Arabidopsis thaliana: one gene and its partner. The protein of the gene in region 2 interacts with the protein of the main gene of each other region in a pairwise test. Each region holds a gene or a part of one and is shown on either strand. Other genes may lie near its edges. The genes, in order: AT4G09100 and RAV2.

What was found.
Region 1: the proteins of RAV2 (region 2) and AT4G09100 interact in a two-hybrid assay, tested with the Arabidopsis thaliana proteins (one large-scale study listed by BioGRID).

What each region holds. Positions count from the first base shown.
Region 1 is NC_003075.7:5,807,276-5,813,699, reverse strand, and holds AT4G09100 (RING/U-box superfamily protein), read right to left. Parts: upstream 2,586-6,424; 5' UTR 2,445-2,585; coding exon 2,046-2,444; 3' UTR 1,854-2,045; downstream 1-1,853. Other genes in the region: AT4G09110 (RING/U-box superfamily protein), read right to left, coding at 304-1,212; AT4G09090 (Carbohydrate-binding X8 domain superfamily protein), read left to right, coding at 6,030-6,380.
Region 2 is NC_003070.9:25,876,248-25,883,779, reverse strand, and holds RAV2 (uncharacterized protein), read right to left. Parts: upstream 3,458-7,532; 5' UTR 3,339-3,457; coding exon 2,280-3,338; 3' UTR 2,230-2,279; exon of another isoform or gene 1,825-2,229; intron 1,815-1,824; 3' UTR 1,558-1,814; downstream 1-1,557. Other genes in the region: AT1G68845 (uncharacterized protein), read right to left, coding at 862-1,015, 1,084-1,346.

The DNA of each region.
Region 1 (6,424 bases), on a different chromosome or scaffold from region 2:
ATAGACAATTGAAAAACCATCATTTGTTGTTTATGTTCTCTCAAAGAGAATATGACGGACCAATAAGGTTTGTGTATTAACTTGTTGACTACGCAACAAGACTTTATTTTTTAGACAACTGAAATTGTTTTGACCTAATCCTTAATTTTTAGACAACTGAAATTGTTGAAAGCCTAAAACAAAGATAATTTTATTCACAAAGGGAAGCATGAAACGGAAAATCAAAAGTCAAAGGTTAAGAGACACGATTAAGGAACTACATCAGCACCACATATAGGACACGTGGAGCGATAAGAGAGAAGATTAGACCTTCTCTGGCATGAGGTGTTGGAACGACTGTTCACATAAATCTTTGTCCTTAGCTTGGGAAGTCTCTAGCACTAGATCGTCTCTGCCAACTGTGGAACGAACAGAAGCAGCTTGTAAAGAGAAACTTAGAGACATAGATATGGCCCGCCGAAGTGTTTGTCGTCCATGAGAGAAACCGCTTCTGTAGCCCTGTCTCGAACTCATGGCTCGAGGTAAGGTCATGTTGCTTGTCCTTATCAGATTCAAGCTAACCAATTGTCTTTGCATCTCCTCTGGTAACTGAAGTGTGAATCGATCTAGATTCGTACCTAGTTGAAGCAATGAATGTTCATCTCTTTGTTCATTTCCCGTTTCAAGATCCGTGATCGGATATGGATAACTCTCACCGGGTTTGAGAGACAGATTTGCACGACAAGCCGGACATGTGGACTGAGAAGAGAGCCACACATCAATGCAATTAGCATGGAAAGTGTGGCTACAAGGAGGCATCCAACGTAGTGTTTCTTTATCCACAAACTCGCTTAGACAAATTGCACATTCTACTCCGCCTTTGCCTATCTTGAGCCCTTTAACCTCCGAATAGAGGAAAATTGGAAAGGACTCAACGAGTTCCTTCTCGAGCCCACGCCTCGCTCTACTGTGAAACACTTCTTGGCTTGCCGCCTCAACCTCTGCTCTATAGAATGTTTTGTGCAAGAAACAAGCGACCATGCTTAATGAGATAAATATTGCAAGCACAATGATTGCGATTACCGTTTCCGTTGGGAAATTGGTTTTTCTATTGCGGTCTACGGATTCTGACTCTTGCTGGCATGTTACATAAGGTAACAAATGGACAAGGAAGAGCGGCAACAAAACCTTCGTTTCGATCCTATAGATGAGATCTCTCGCGAATATAGTCATGATGTGAACCGTCCTTTTGCTAACCACGGTGGATCACTTGAGCTTCATGTGTTGAGCGAGAGAAGAGAATACGAACAAGCCGTTTTTATAATACTAAACACATTTTGGTTTGTACTCGTCACGACAATACATATTGTATTACTACTATGTTTAGTTAGATTAGTTTTGGTCGGAATGATTGATTTGGCTTCTTCCTCTAACGTTTTGACTTTTGAAGAAGTCTTTACGTCACTATAGACGTAGAACAAGTACTACATTACTCATGCCCTCTCTATTAACTTGTTGATCTACGCAACAAGACTTTTCCAACAGTTTTGACCTAATCCTTATTGGTCAGTCACATCCCTCTGATGTTCACGTCCTCTCAATGGAATGTGACGGACCAATAAGGTTTATGTATTTGGTGCTAGATTATTCGCACCATAACAAATGTTTACATCATATGAGTAACTAATTAAAGCCTTCAAAGTATGGTATATAACTATATATCCGAACGTTTCATTAACTTGTAACTTACATATATACATATTTGTTGTACACAGCATGATAGGTGGTCCCTCTCCAAAGCCAAATAGATGTGTTTAGTGTGTAATACATGAACAAGTAACCAAAGAGATAAACTATGTTTTTGTCATTTTCTAGTCTAATTCATCATCATCATCATGACATTGAATAATTCAATATGCCTCAATTCCTTTGTAGATTATTTCCTTCCATGGAGTAGTATCATCATTACGGTTGGTAAAATATCAACACTATAAAGATAATTTATTTACAAAGGGAGAACTATGTAACGCAAAATGCATAGTAAAAGGCTAATTAAGAGACTCGTATTAAGGAACTACTTTAGCACGACAGATAGGACATGTGGAGCTATGAGAAAGCCAGATGTCTACACAGTCAGCATGAAACACATGTACACAAGGTGGTACCAAACGCAGCGTTTCATCGTCTTTGAATTCATTCAAACACACAACACATTCTAGCTCGCCTATTCCTGGCTCAATTCCTCTAGCTTCCGTGTAAACGAATGAAGGAAACGACTTGATGGCTTCAGCGTCAAGTCCTCGCGGTGGCCTCCTCGGACTCATTCGAGCTTCCTCAATGTCCCCGGCTGCTGCGGCACGGTTTCTGCATCGCCGAATGTAGTAATTAATGATATAAAACGCTATGAACCCGATGCTCGCAAACGCAAACACAATTGTTCCTTCGTTTCTTTTGAAGTATGACATGTTTCGTACTTTAACATCTTCTTGAGTTTTGTAATGGGAAGAGATAGAGAAAGAAGAAGAAGAAAGAGAGACGTGGGGTTCACGTCTTCTTCGTAGTTTCTAGGTGATTTCTACGCGCCACCGTGTTTCTTCGTGTTTCACATAATAAACTAGTGCAATGACTCTAGCACTTTCCCATTTGCTAATATTTTTTAGTTTCGTAATTATAGACTAAACTTAATTTGACGGAATCTAGATGAGATTGGTTAGTTTTGAGATATAGATTATTAGAACCGATCAAAAAAGGTCGAAATATGTAAACATGATATTCATATTATGTGTAGGTGAATACTGAAAACAATATTATCGTTTTTAATTATTTTTCTGATGTATTAATAATTATTTGACAGTGATCTTTTGTCCTTCTGTTTTCAACTTTTGTCTCGACAATGTTCAAGCCTTCAAGGTAATTTATTATCTCATTAGCTCTATTTTATATGAATGATATCTAAAAAATTATTTTGAAAAGAATTCATGTACAAACAATACAACATTGTGTATAAAATGAAAGGAAACAAAATTACGTAGACATAAAATTCGAAACTTTAATACAATCTTAAATGTTAGATAGATAATTATATCATAAAGAAACTTTATATATCATATATATATGCTATAAAAAAAGGTTTAGTTGACCGCCAAAGATACAAATATTTTTTTTTAGTTATTAAAAATATTTTATATAATTCGATGTTTATATACAAAATTTGAAGATCTCGTATACAAATTTTGAATGTACAATCTTTTTAATACAATTTAGATATCCTAGTTTGTATCGTTTTAAATACATAACTAGTTTCTATTCTTAAAGTTACCTTAATAGGAAACTCCCAAAGAAAATAGAAAAATAGGTTAATGTTAAAATTTCTCTAGTTTACAAGAATTATTATTCTCAGTATATTTGAAGGAATTAATAAAGAAGAATTCATAAGTTTTTATTTACCTTTAATATTTCATAGTGCAAATATAAATACGGATAATTTTGCACAAAAAAAATTATATTGAACCACAATATATCACATATGTAAACAACATTTTACGTGAATTGACTTTGTTGAGCTCTAATTAATATCGGTTAACAAAAAAAAAAAGATTGACACAATTAGCACACAAAATTTCTTCCAAAAATAGCACCTCATTTGAAAATATCTACAAATAGCACTCAAAACATTTTCTTCCAAAAATAGCACCTCATTTGAAAATATCTACAAATAGCACTCAAAACATTTTCTTCCTAAAATAGCACCTAATTAAAAAAATTATCAGTCAAAGTTTTCCGTGAAAAAAAAATCTTTCAAATTTTTCCGTGAATTTTTTTTTGTCAAATTTTCCCGCCAAAAAAAATTCCGTAAAAACTTTCCCGCCAAAAACAATTTTTGTCAAAACATTCCGTCAAATTTTTTCCACATAAGAAAATTTAGGAAGGATTCTACGAAAACTGGAAAAAATTTCACGAAATTCAAGAAAGATTTTACAAAATTCAAGAAGGATTTCACAAAAAAAAATCTTTCGTGAAACCCTTCCTTAGTTTTGTAGAAGTCTTCCTAAATTTCCTTGAAAGTTTCCACAAAATTCAGAAAAGATTTTACAAAATTCATGAAAAATTATCATGAAATTAAGGAAGGGTTACAAAAAAAAAAAAGTTTAATTCTGAATTTCTTGAAACCCTTCATGAATTTCTTAAATCCTTCATGAATTTTATAAAATCTTTCGTGAATTTCTTTTTTTTTTTTCGGGAAAATTTGTTTATAAAAGTTTTTGGTGGAAATAATTTTGATGGAAATTTTTGGGGGGAAATATTGTCTGAAATTTATTTATTTTTTGAATTTTCTTATTTATAAATTTTAATAATTAAAAATAAAATATTTATTTGAGTGATATTTTTGTCCAAAAAACTTGAAATGATGCTATTTGTGAAAATTTTATCTTTTTAAGAAAATAAGTAAGTCACTTCTGAACTGACCACATTTACATATCCTTATTCCACAAAAGCTCGATCATAAAAACAAGTATACTCACTGAATCTTAATATATATATATATATATATATATATATACCTTGTTTTGTTGATTCCTTTAAATTAGTTGGTTATAAAGGGTTATTCAAAGAGAACTTCATGATCAGTTAGTTTGAGTGGCGATTTCTAGGGTTGTTTTGTTTTACATTGTTCTTCGTTTATACTTAATCTTAATGCATATGGTTGACATCAAGAATTGATTGGTTATTCCAAGGAAGTAGAATCGCCAACCGTGTAGTTTACTTGCTTGAACCTAGACTTGGATGAGTTAGATCTCTTAATAAGCATATACTATTAGACTGTGGGCTTCCAACTCAAAACCAATTGACAATGAATGGAGAGACCCATATACTATATATACCACTTAACATCCTACTCAACTTCCGATGTGGGACAATATCCTTAATAGGACTCTTCGAAAATCTAGCCATCAATCTTGATAAGCTCGGGCATGGATTGGTGGGCCAAGTATTGGGATGGGCCGATGTGAATTGGGTTGAGTATGTGCGGATCGGGCTCCAATACCATATTAGACTGTGGATTTCCAACTTAAAACCAATTAGCAATGAGTGGAGAGACTCATATTTTATATATACCACTAATCATACTCATCTTCTGATGTGAGACAATATCCCTAATACATACCCATTAGTTTTAGTGTATATGTGAATTTACTTGCTTATAACGCATGACTAGATGTGTCGTCCAGCGATTTGTTGAGTAATGGTGTATCTAGACCTTACATAATTGATTCTGCAAATGGTAGCTCTTTTATTCATTTGTGTTTCTAGTTTGTGAACATAGAATAAATTATTACATATCTTAGATTTCTTTGAATGAAATGATCATCAATACCCCTGCAAAATCCATGAATTCCCAACAATCATTTTATTGACTTTTTCTTGCGTTTCTTTCTCTTGTTTACATTTTTAATTTTCTATTTTCATTCGTGACAAACCCCCAAACCAACTTTATATATTTTTCCTAGCTTTATTCTCTTTTGACGATTTAGTAGCGCTCTCTCTCTCATTGACCAAGCTTTGGATTTGAGATGTTACTCATATATTTCTATTTTCTTAAATATCTTTAAATCTTTGGTTTTCTAATATATAGAACCTTTTTCATAGACATATAATTTCAAAGTTATAAAGTTATCTTTTTGTTTCTATAATCATACATTTCAAATTATAAAGATATATTTCTAATTATAAAGATATATTTCTTTCTTCCAAAATATTTTTATATCTTTGATTTTCTACTATCTAGTGGTTAAAAGTTTTAGATATCATTTCAAATTATAAAGATATATTTCTAATAATATATGTATATTTTCATTTTCATAAGTTTTTTAAAATCTTTGACTTCTTATATGGTTAAACTTTTTTTTATAGACATCTATGTATATAAAAACATATAAACTATCTTCTAAATACTATCTAGTAATATATAAAGACACATATACATTTACTCACATAGACATCCAAAAACAAAATTACTTGAATCTCAATTGAATTGTCATTTAAAAAAAATGGCCAAAATATCATCACTTTTGGCACTTCTTTTCATCATTCTATCTTCCATAATGATCAACCACCTCCATGTGGCGAGTTCCACAAAATGGTGTGTAGCAAAGATGAACGCAACGAATGCGCAACTACAAGGAAATATTAATTTTGGATGTAGTGAAGGAGTTGATTGTGGGCCAATTCAACCAGGCGGATCCTGTTATATCCCTAATAGTCTTGTAAATCATGCATCATTTGTGATGAATGCTTATTATCAGAGTCATGGTCGTACCAAAAAGGCATGTAGCTTCAAAAATACTGGCACATTTGCTGTTACCGATCTCAGTTTTGGTAAATGTGTGTATGTGTCTTAAAAATATATATATTTGGTTTCAATATCTGATATGCACAATAAATG
Region 2 (7,532 bases):
GAGAAAATAATCTATTTCTGATCTTTATTTATATAAGAAAGAAAAAATTTAATTTGATGTTATTCTTTCCCTTATTTATTTCTACATTTTTAAAACTATAGGGTTCTTGAATGTTTAAAACCTTATTCTAATGATTTTCAATTGATCTGAGTCTGTAGTTGTTTTTTTGGTTTGACTTTATATTTATGGTTGTGCATGCAACAAAATCAATAAAATAATTGCACTATATATGCAAAAACTCAAACTCCAATATTGTAAGTTCGAAAGAAGAAATAATTCTTTTCAAAAAATGTATAATGAAATTTAAGGTTGATAAAGAGACAAGCAAAGCAAAATTCTGCTCATGTAAAAGATAGAGTTTCTAAGAATTTAGCATGGAAACAGGCTAAAGACGTCAAGACTCGATCTCACCTACTTGATACTGGAAGCAGGATACGACAAAGTGGACAATTTTGAGATTGTTGCATCCAGTCTTCAATGCAGAAAGTATGGAAAACATGAGAACAAGAAGAAGTAACGGTTGCTTCCATCCCAAGAAAGAAATCTTCTTGACATATACAACATGTGCCAAACAAATCCATGTCAGGGCCAAGCACTGCCACACATTTGTTATCAGGATGCAATCTTTTGGAAAATTTGGTGAAAAGTAGTTGGAGTTTTTCACCCATGTCACCAAACGATTAATATAAGAATCCGGGAAGTGAGTAAAACCGAACTCATTCATCACACCTCTAATAACCCTCACTAGATAATCGACGCTTTCATCTCTATATAAGAGAATGTATCTTGTACAATTATTCATATCAGAGTCTATTATAATTTTTCCTAAACACCTTTGTGTTCTTACCCTCATCAAATTTATCAGTACCATTCCTTTTTTCTCGACATGAACAACAGAGGAACCCATCTCTGCTTTGACCAAGTCCTCCTCTGCTTCATTAAGTGATCTGCTAGTCCACGGACGATGCTGGCCTTGTCCTCGGTCGTCAACCTCGCCAGATGTGAGATCTTATCTCTTCAAATGGTAAAACATCATTAATGAATCGTGTCGGGAAACAAGGAAACCCGAAGCAATAATCATACTTACTTACCAACAAGGAACGAATCAGTTTCTTGCCGCCCCACTCATGCTCGCTTGCGTAAACAACATCAACCCTAACCTCTACCATGAACTGAGCGTAAGTAAGTGTCTCCTCGAACAGTAAACCCATGTCAACATACGACTGGGAGTAGTGAGACTTCACGGATAAACCCTTACCAACCCGTTGAGAATCGTATCGTTTTAAACCCGCGCGGGTCAAACATCTCTGTTTTGCGACTTTTTCACACTTCCGATGGCTAATCATACCGCAATGTTCACAAAAATCCCCAAGATTCTTGTACTTGAACTGAACAAACTGAAGCCATACAACCTCTAGCAATGGTTACGTACCATTCCGTTCACCAGCCTAGTCGTGTGAGGTTTGCCAGAAGCACTATAAGTCGCTTGAATCTGTTCGGGAACACATTACTATATTTTGGATTTCGTTCAGTTTACATATTTCTGTTTTGAGGTTAAAAGATTTCAGTCATTTATTAATGGTTCGACCTTTGGGGAACGAAACCTAGCTTATACCAATACCAGAAAACTTCGAGACGATAAGAGGCAGACTACTGCTAATTTGTAAGCTTGAATGGTGCCTTGACAATGTGGGCTATGAAGTGGTGAATTTCGAGAATGACTCTACAATTACATCATTCATGCCATATCCTCCCCTCAAGATTGGTCGAGACTCCAAGGTTGCTAACTTTTTTTTTTTTTTTTTTTTGCAAAACTTGTAAATATCATTAGAAATGAAAATAAAGGAATTACAGAAGCAACACCTAGAGTAGAGTAATCTTGGAAAAAAAGAGAGTAAAAGGTTGCTAACTTGCTATGTGAGATCATTAAGACACCTATGAGCATCCTTTAGTTGCCAAGTAAGAGAAATAAGTCCTTGTACGGTAATGGATGAAATTGCCAAGAATTCATCCTCTTTTTCCGATTTATCATGCAATTTTAGATAGTTAATTAATTTGATTCATCTAGTTTTAGGAACGGATAAACATTTAGGTTGTATCCGGTAACGTTTTACTATGAGGTAGGTCTATTTACCACTTTTCCACAAAACCATTGTTCCAATTTATTTTTTGGTCTTATCTCTTTTCCTAAATACAACCTAGCATGAATCACAACCTACACAACTTGACAAAAAAAAAAAATTAAAAAACGAAAGCATAAAATCGGAAAAGGAAATATGTCACAAAGCATTGATTATCGCCTGCTTCTTGGAACACCGTAACGCAAACATATCATCAACATCTCGAGATCTCTTTCCACCGCAAACGGCCACGACGTCGTTTGGCTTCACGGTGGTCACATTAAAGATATCAACTCCGAAAAGCCGAACCACCACCTGAACCGGGTTTTCTCTCGGACCAGACCGAACTTTCCAATCAATATATAACTGCCGCTCTAGTCCGGTCGATCTCTCGAAAGTAACAACATCACCGGCTCGAAGATTCTTCTCCTTGACGAATCGACTCCATCCCTTGGTCAACACGTAACTTTGACTACTGTTCCAGTATGAGTAACGGAACCTCCACACTTTACCGTTAACGTCTTCGAAGTTGATCAAAACTCCTTTAGTCACTGCCGGTGACGGTGACGGTAACGGAAAGTGTTTCTCGGCGTGTTGTTTAGGTATCACGAGACGGTTTAGCTTCCCAACGTCGCTAGGTGTAACAGCCTTCTCGAAAAGAACTTCACGCGTCTTTAAAACTTTGTCGTTTTGAGTAGTACTCGATCCGTTACGTTTTCCGTTAGCGTCGACGGAGAGAAACAACTGCCGTTTATTGTTCTGTTCAAGCTCGTCGGCGTAAGTGTGTTTTCTCAACATGTCGACGATCTCGGCCTTTGAGTGAGCTTCAAGAAAAGCTAAATCGCCGTCTTCCAGAACGTTCTTGAAGTTGACGACGGCGTCGCGGCCACGGAATCTACAAGCTGCGATGTCGTAGGAACGAGCAGCTTCTTCTTGCTCGTTGAAAGTCCCGAGCCATACTCGTTGGTGCTTCTCGTAGATCTGAGCTCCCCATCTTCCGTTAGGCTGAGGAACAACACCTTTGTATTTTGAAGATGGTAGCTTTCGTGACTCCGTCTCTAGGCCGTTCTCGGGATCCAACACGACGCTGCTCCCGCCGCTTCCCATCCGGTAGAGGCGTAACGCCGCCGCGGGAGGAGGAGAGAGCTTCTTGGCGGTGGTGGCGGAGAAAGATTCTGAAGTGGAGGAACTTATCTCGTCTATGCAACTAGAATCCATTTTCTTTGTTTCAGTTTCTTGAAGATTCTCACCAAACCAAGAAACAAAAATTATAACCTTTTAGCAGAAAGAAGAAACACAAATTGGGTGAGAGAGATTTAGGTGACGTTGTTACTTTTTCATTTCTTTGGTTCATCTATATATATACAAAGACATATGATGATGTGAGGAATGGACGAGGCAAGTGCATGTACATGTTATTATTTTATATCTAATTAGTTTTATGTTTTTGAAAGTTAAAATTTGATTGGTTTATGGAAAAAAATGGGTCAAAATGAGAGAACATTTTAAAAATGGAAAGGTAGGGTCAACGCTTTCAAGAACGGCAAAAATAACTTTGAAGGAAGTTTCCGAGAAGGGCAGACAAAAATAAATGTAGTACCACGGCTTTTACATACATATCGTACGTTTGTTATGTACATTTTTTGGAAAAATATTTCAACGGCGTAAGAACATTTTCTTACAACACATTACCACGTACTTTCATAAAATAAGGTTCTCATCAATCATCATATAAGTTGTTGAAACTGATATATAACCATAGTCAAAATTATTATTTTTATTGGATAACGAGAATTTCTTGGTTTTATAACTTATATATAGTTTCCGAAAAAAGATGGGTAGTATAGATTAGATATAGTTAAACATTAACTCTTGATTTTATTCATGATATTAGGGATAATAATATCCCACATTAGAAAAGACAAAGAAATCTTGACTAGTATATAAGACATATATGAGTCAATCTATTTATTAATAGTTGGTTTTGAATTAGATACCTCATATTCTAATATGGTATTAGAATCTGATCCATATGTATTCAATCCAATCTACAATTGGTCCGACGTAATTATAGTTTTTCTGTCGATCTATATCTGAACATACTAAAATTAATGGCTCGGAAAAAAATTATCTCGAGAAAACGTTTTAAGGATAATAATATCGCATTGAAAAGAAACAATTTTTTTGACTAAAATATTACATATAGACAAATCCACTTATTATCAATTAAATTTGAATGAAAAGTTCATATTCTAATAGATCATTAATTCATTGATTTATTATCAATGATCAATCCATATCAAATTTTATGTACAATTCAACACAGTTATGACATTCTAGATGCTTGGAGGAGAAACTAATTCACTAAATATCGATATGTTTTTCAACAATCCAAATATGTTCAATTATCTTGCTACATTTTGACATACATAGAAGAGTCAGATAAACAAAAAAAAGTCAGAGAAGAAGAAAATAAAATAAAATTAAGTCATTGACAAAAAACAATACATACAAATGAATAACCAATGGGTTACATGTTCATGGTAAATGTGGACCTACCAAGAGGGTCAAGTGGGATGGGGGCTCACATGAACCTATCCTCACTTCTTTTTTTGGTATATTTTAGTTCATCCCCCTTTGAAGCAATTGTTGTATGACCATATTTTTTTCACCATCTTTATATTTTTATTGGTTAAATGTTTTGTAAATTGATTAGAAAACAAAAAAGAGACTTTTGGATAGGTTGGTCGCAAGGATTATGATCTTATCTGATACTGTTGTCTCATACACTCATACAAATATCGTAACATATTCTGCTTTTTATTATATTTTTCAGTTTCCTTCTTAATTTGTAGCTCTTCAATAGAAAATGTTTTGTATTAATTTTGCAATAAGCAAACACTAATAATTCTCTTTATACAACTTACCATGTGGTATATGATATTTCTAATTTGTTACATAATATATAGAATAGTATCGATGTATGTATCTCTATATATATTTGAGAGAAAGAAAAATGGATTTATTGTGGACATGGCGTGATGTTCCCGCTTGGGAGGGGAGACAATTTGACTAGTTTGAGCTTATCCAACCAAATATTTTTGAAACACTCCAACGTTGATACGTTTTAATTTTCACCCTTTTAAATAGTTTTCACTTTACATATTTATAGCTTTTTACTAGTTTGTAACTATAATGTTCATATCGTCCGATTGTTTCTTGAATGAACAATTATTTTGTATTGATTTTTTTATATAATCGTAGACACGTATAATACTATCTTTGAGGTATGAACCGATAAATTTGTTGCTACCAATAAAAACTGAAAACACACTGTATTTCATAAATTTAAGATACCATCCGAATATGTTCTCTTACTACTTACTAGACTACTAGTCCAACTCAAATTAATTTGATTAAGAAGAATTAATTATATACTTGAATCCATATCTATTTAAACACTACAATATGTATTTCTATATCACCTCTCATCATCCCAACACATTTAATTTATCAATTAATATGAAACTTCAATAACCATCCAAATCACATGATAAGTTTGAATGCTGAATCAGTAATAATAAATAAAAATAAAAACATCAGCGAACAAGAAAATTAAGCATATTTTGCTAAACCCTCTCATGTTAACTATGGGAATTAATTTCTTTAACAAAAAAAGAAAGAAAATTAAGCATATTGATAGAAAATATCCTGAGAAAATCGTTAAAATGTGGATATAAATGTTGAGAAAAAAAGACAAATAATTATTTGAAAGTATAAGAAAAGGTCCATGCAACGTAGGAAAAAACATCGGGGTAAGGTGTCGCAACAGACGATGTCGTTTGGTCAACAATTTGGAGATGAAATTTAAAGTAGGAGAAAACTTGTGATACGTTTTAAGAACGAAAAAGTCAGCTCCATCATTGTCATTTGTCACTGTTAAGTATGGACCCAAACCTCATCTCATCCTAATTTTAGTAATATTCCGATTCCATCTCACTCGTTGGTTTTAGATTCTTATCTTCCATCGTTGAGATCGTACAGTTTTGGTAAGAAGACAAAGACTTCATGTATTATTGACATTTTTTCGTATTTCCATCTTCGGCTAATCAGACTTGACTAACTAAATTATATAATTCTGGTGGAATAATGAAACTCGTGGCCTAGTTTTGGACCACCAGAACTAACTTAATTAAATGATTATACCACCAGAACCAACTTAATTTAACTAATAGATTCAATTTTGTGGCTCCTACATACTATATAATTGGATACAAAAGTGAAAAGAAGAAAACTTAAATATTAACTAGCGTGCGACTAATTAAATATTATACACATCAAACTTTTGTAAATTGCAGCAGCCACTCGTTAGCGAGTTTCCATGACCTCACTAAGTAATGTTTACACATAAGTATATTATTGTTTCCGTTTACAATATATATAAATGATCTCACTTATAATATTGTCAACAATGAATTTATGTAAAAATATTAGACGATAAGCTAATTTTTTTTTTCATGTTGCTGAATCAAATAATCTAATTTGCATTTGTTAGATTTACTCAAAACTAAATAAACTTGAAAGTTTATCAAATCAATACTTTATGTAAAAGTGACTATCTGAAAAAAAAAAAAAAAAAAAAAAAAGTGACTATCTGGAAATGAAGCGACTTTGTCCAACTTGATGTTCTGTTCATAAAGCCGAGCAAAACAACAAATAAATAAAACTAACTGAAAATAAAATTATCATTGATTAGTTTAGCTAATTCGTGACTTAATGTAGTGATTAGTACTATGATAATATCATGTGAGGCAAATGAGAATATATTTGACTGTATCTTTTGATCACGTATCCACGTCGATACAGACAAGCTGTATATGTTGCGCGTACATTATGGTCAATGTTCTTACGATTCTTTTCACATTTCTTTTCCAGTGCTAATACAAATATTTTTATCAGTATACACGTTATGGATTCATTGTATAACTTGTCATCGGTGGGAATAATATTTCTCATCTGTTATTTATCCGTTATGTCATTCGTCGATGTACGACCCGCTTCAAAATAAAAGAATTTCGTAATTAGTAAAGCAAATACAAATTGTCAATTCACCAAATAGTGATCAAATATATGTTTGTCAAAAAAAATTCTTATATCTTAAGAAGATCAGATAGCTGCATTAAATCTTTGAATATCCGCTTGATTATTCGAAACGAGTATCATAACATCAACAAAACTAGTAGAAAGTATACAAGTAATGAAAGTAATTATATATATGGACTATATATAACATTTGTCTAACATTTGATAGTATTTGTTTTTTCTATGTCAAACAGTGATTTGTTATATCGATTCATAACGAACCATCAAGTTTTGGCCTTAAATGTTGGCAAGAAATATTTATAAATGCGT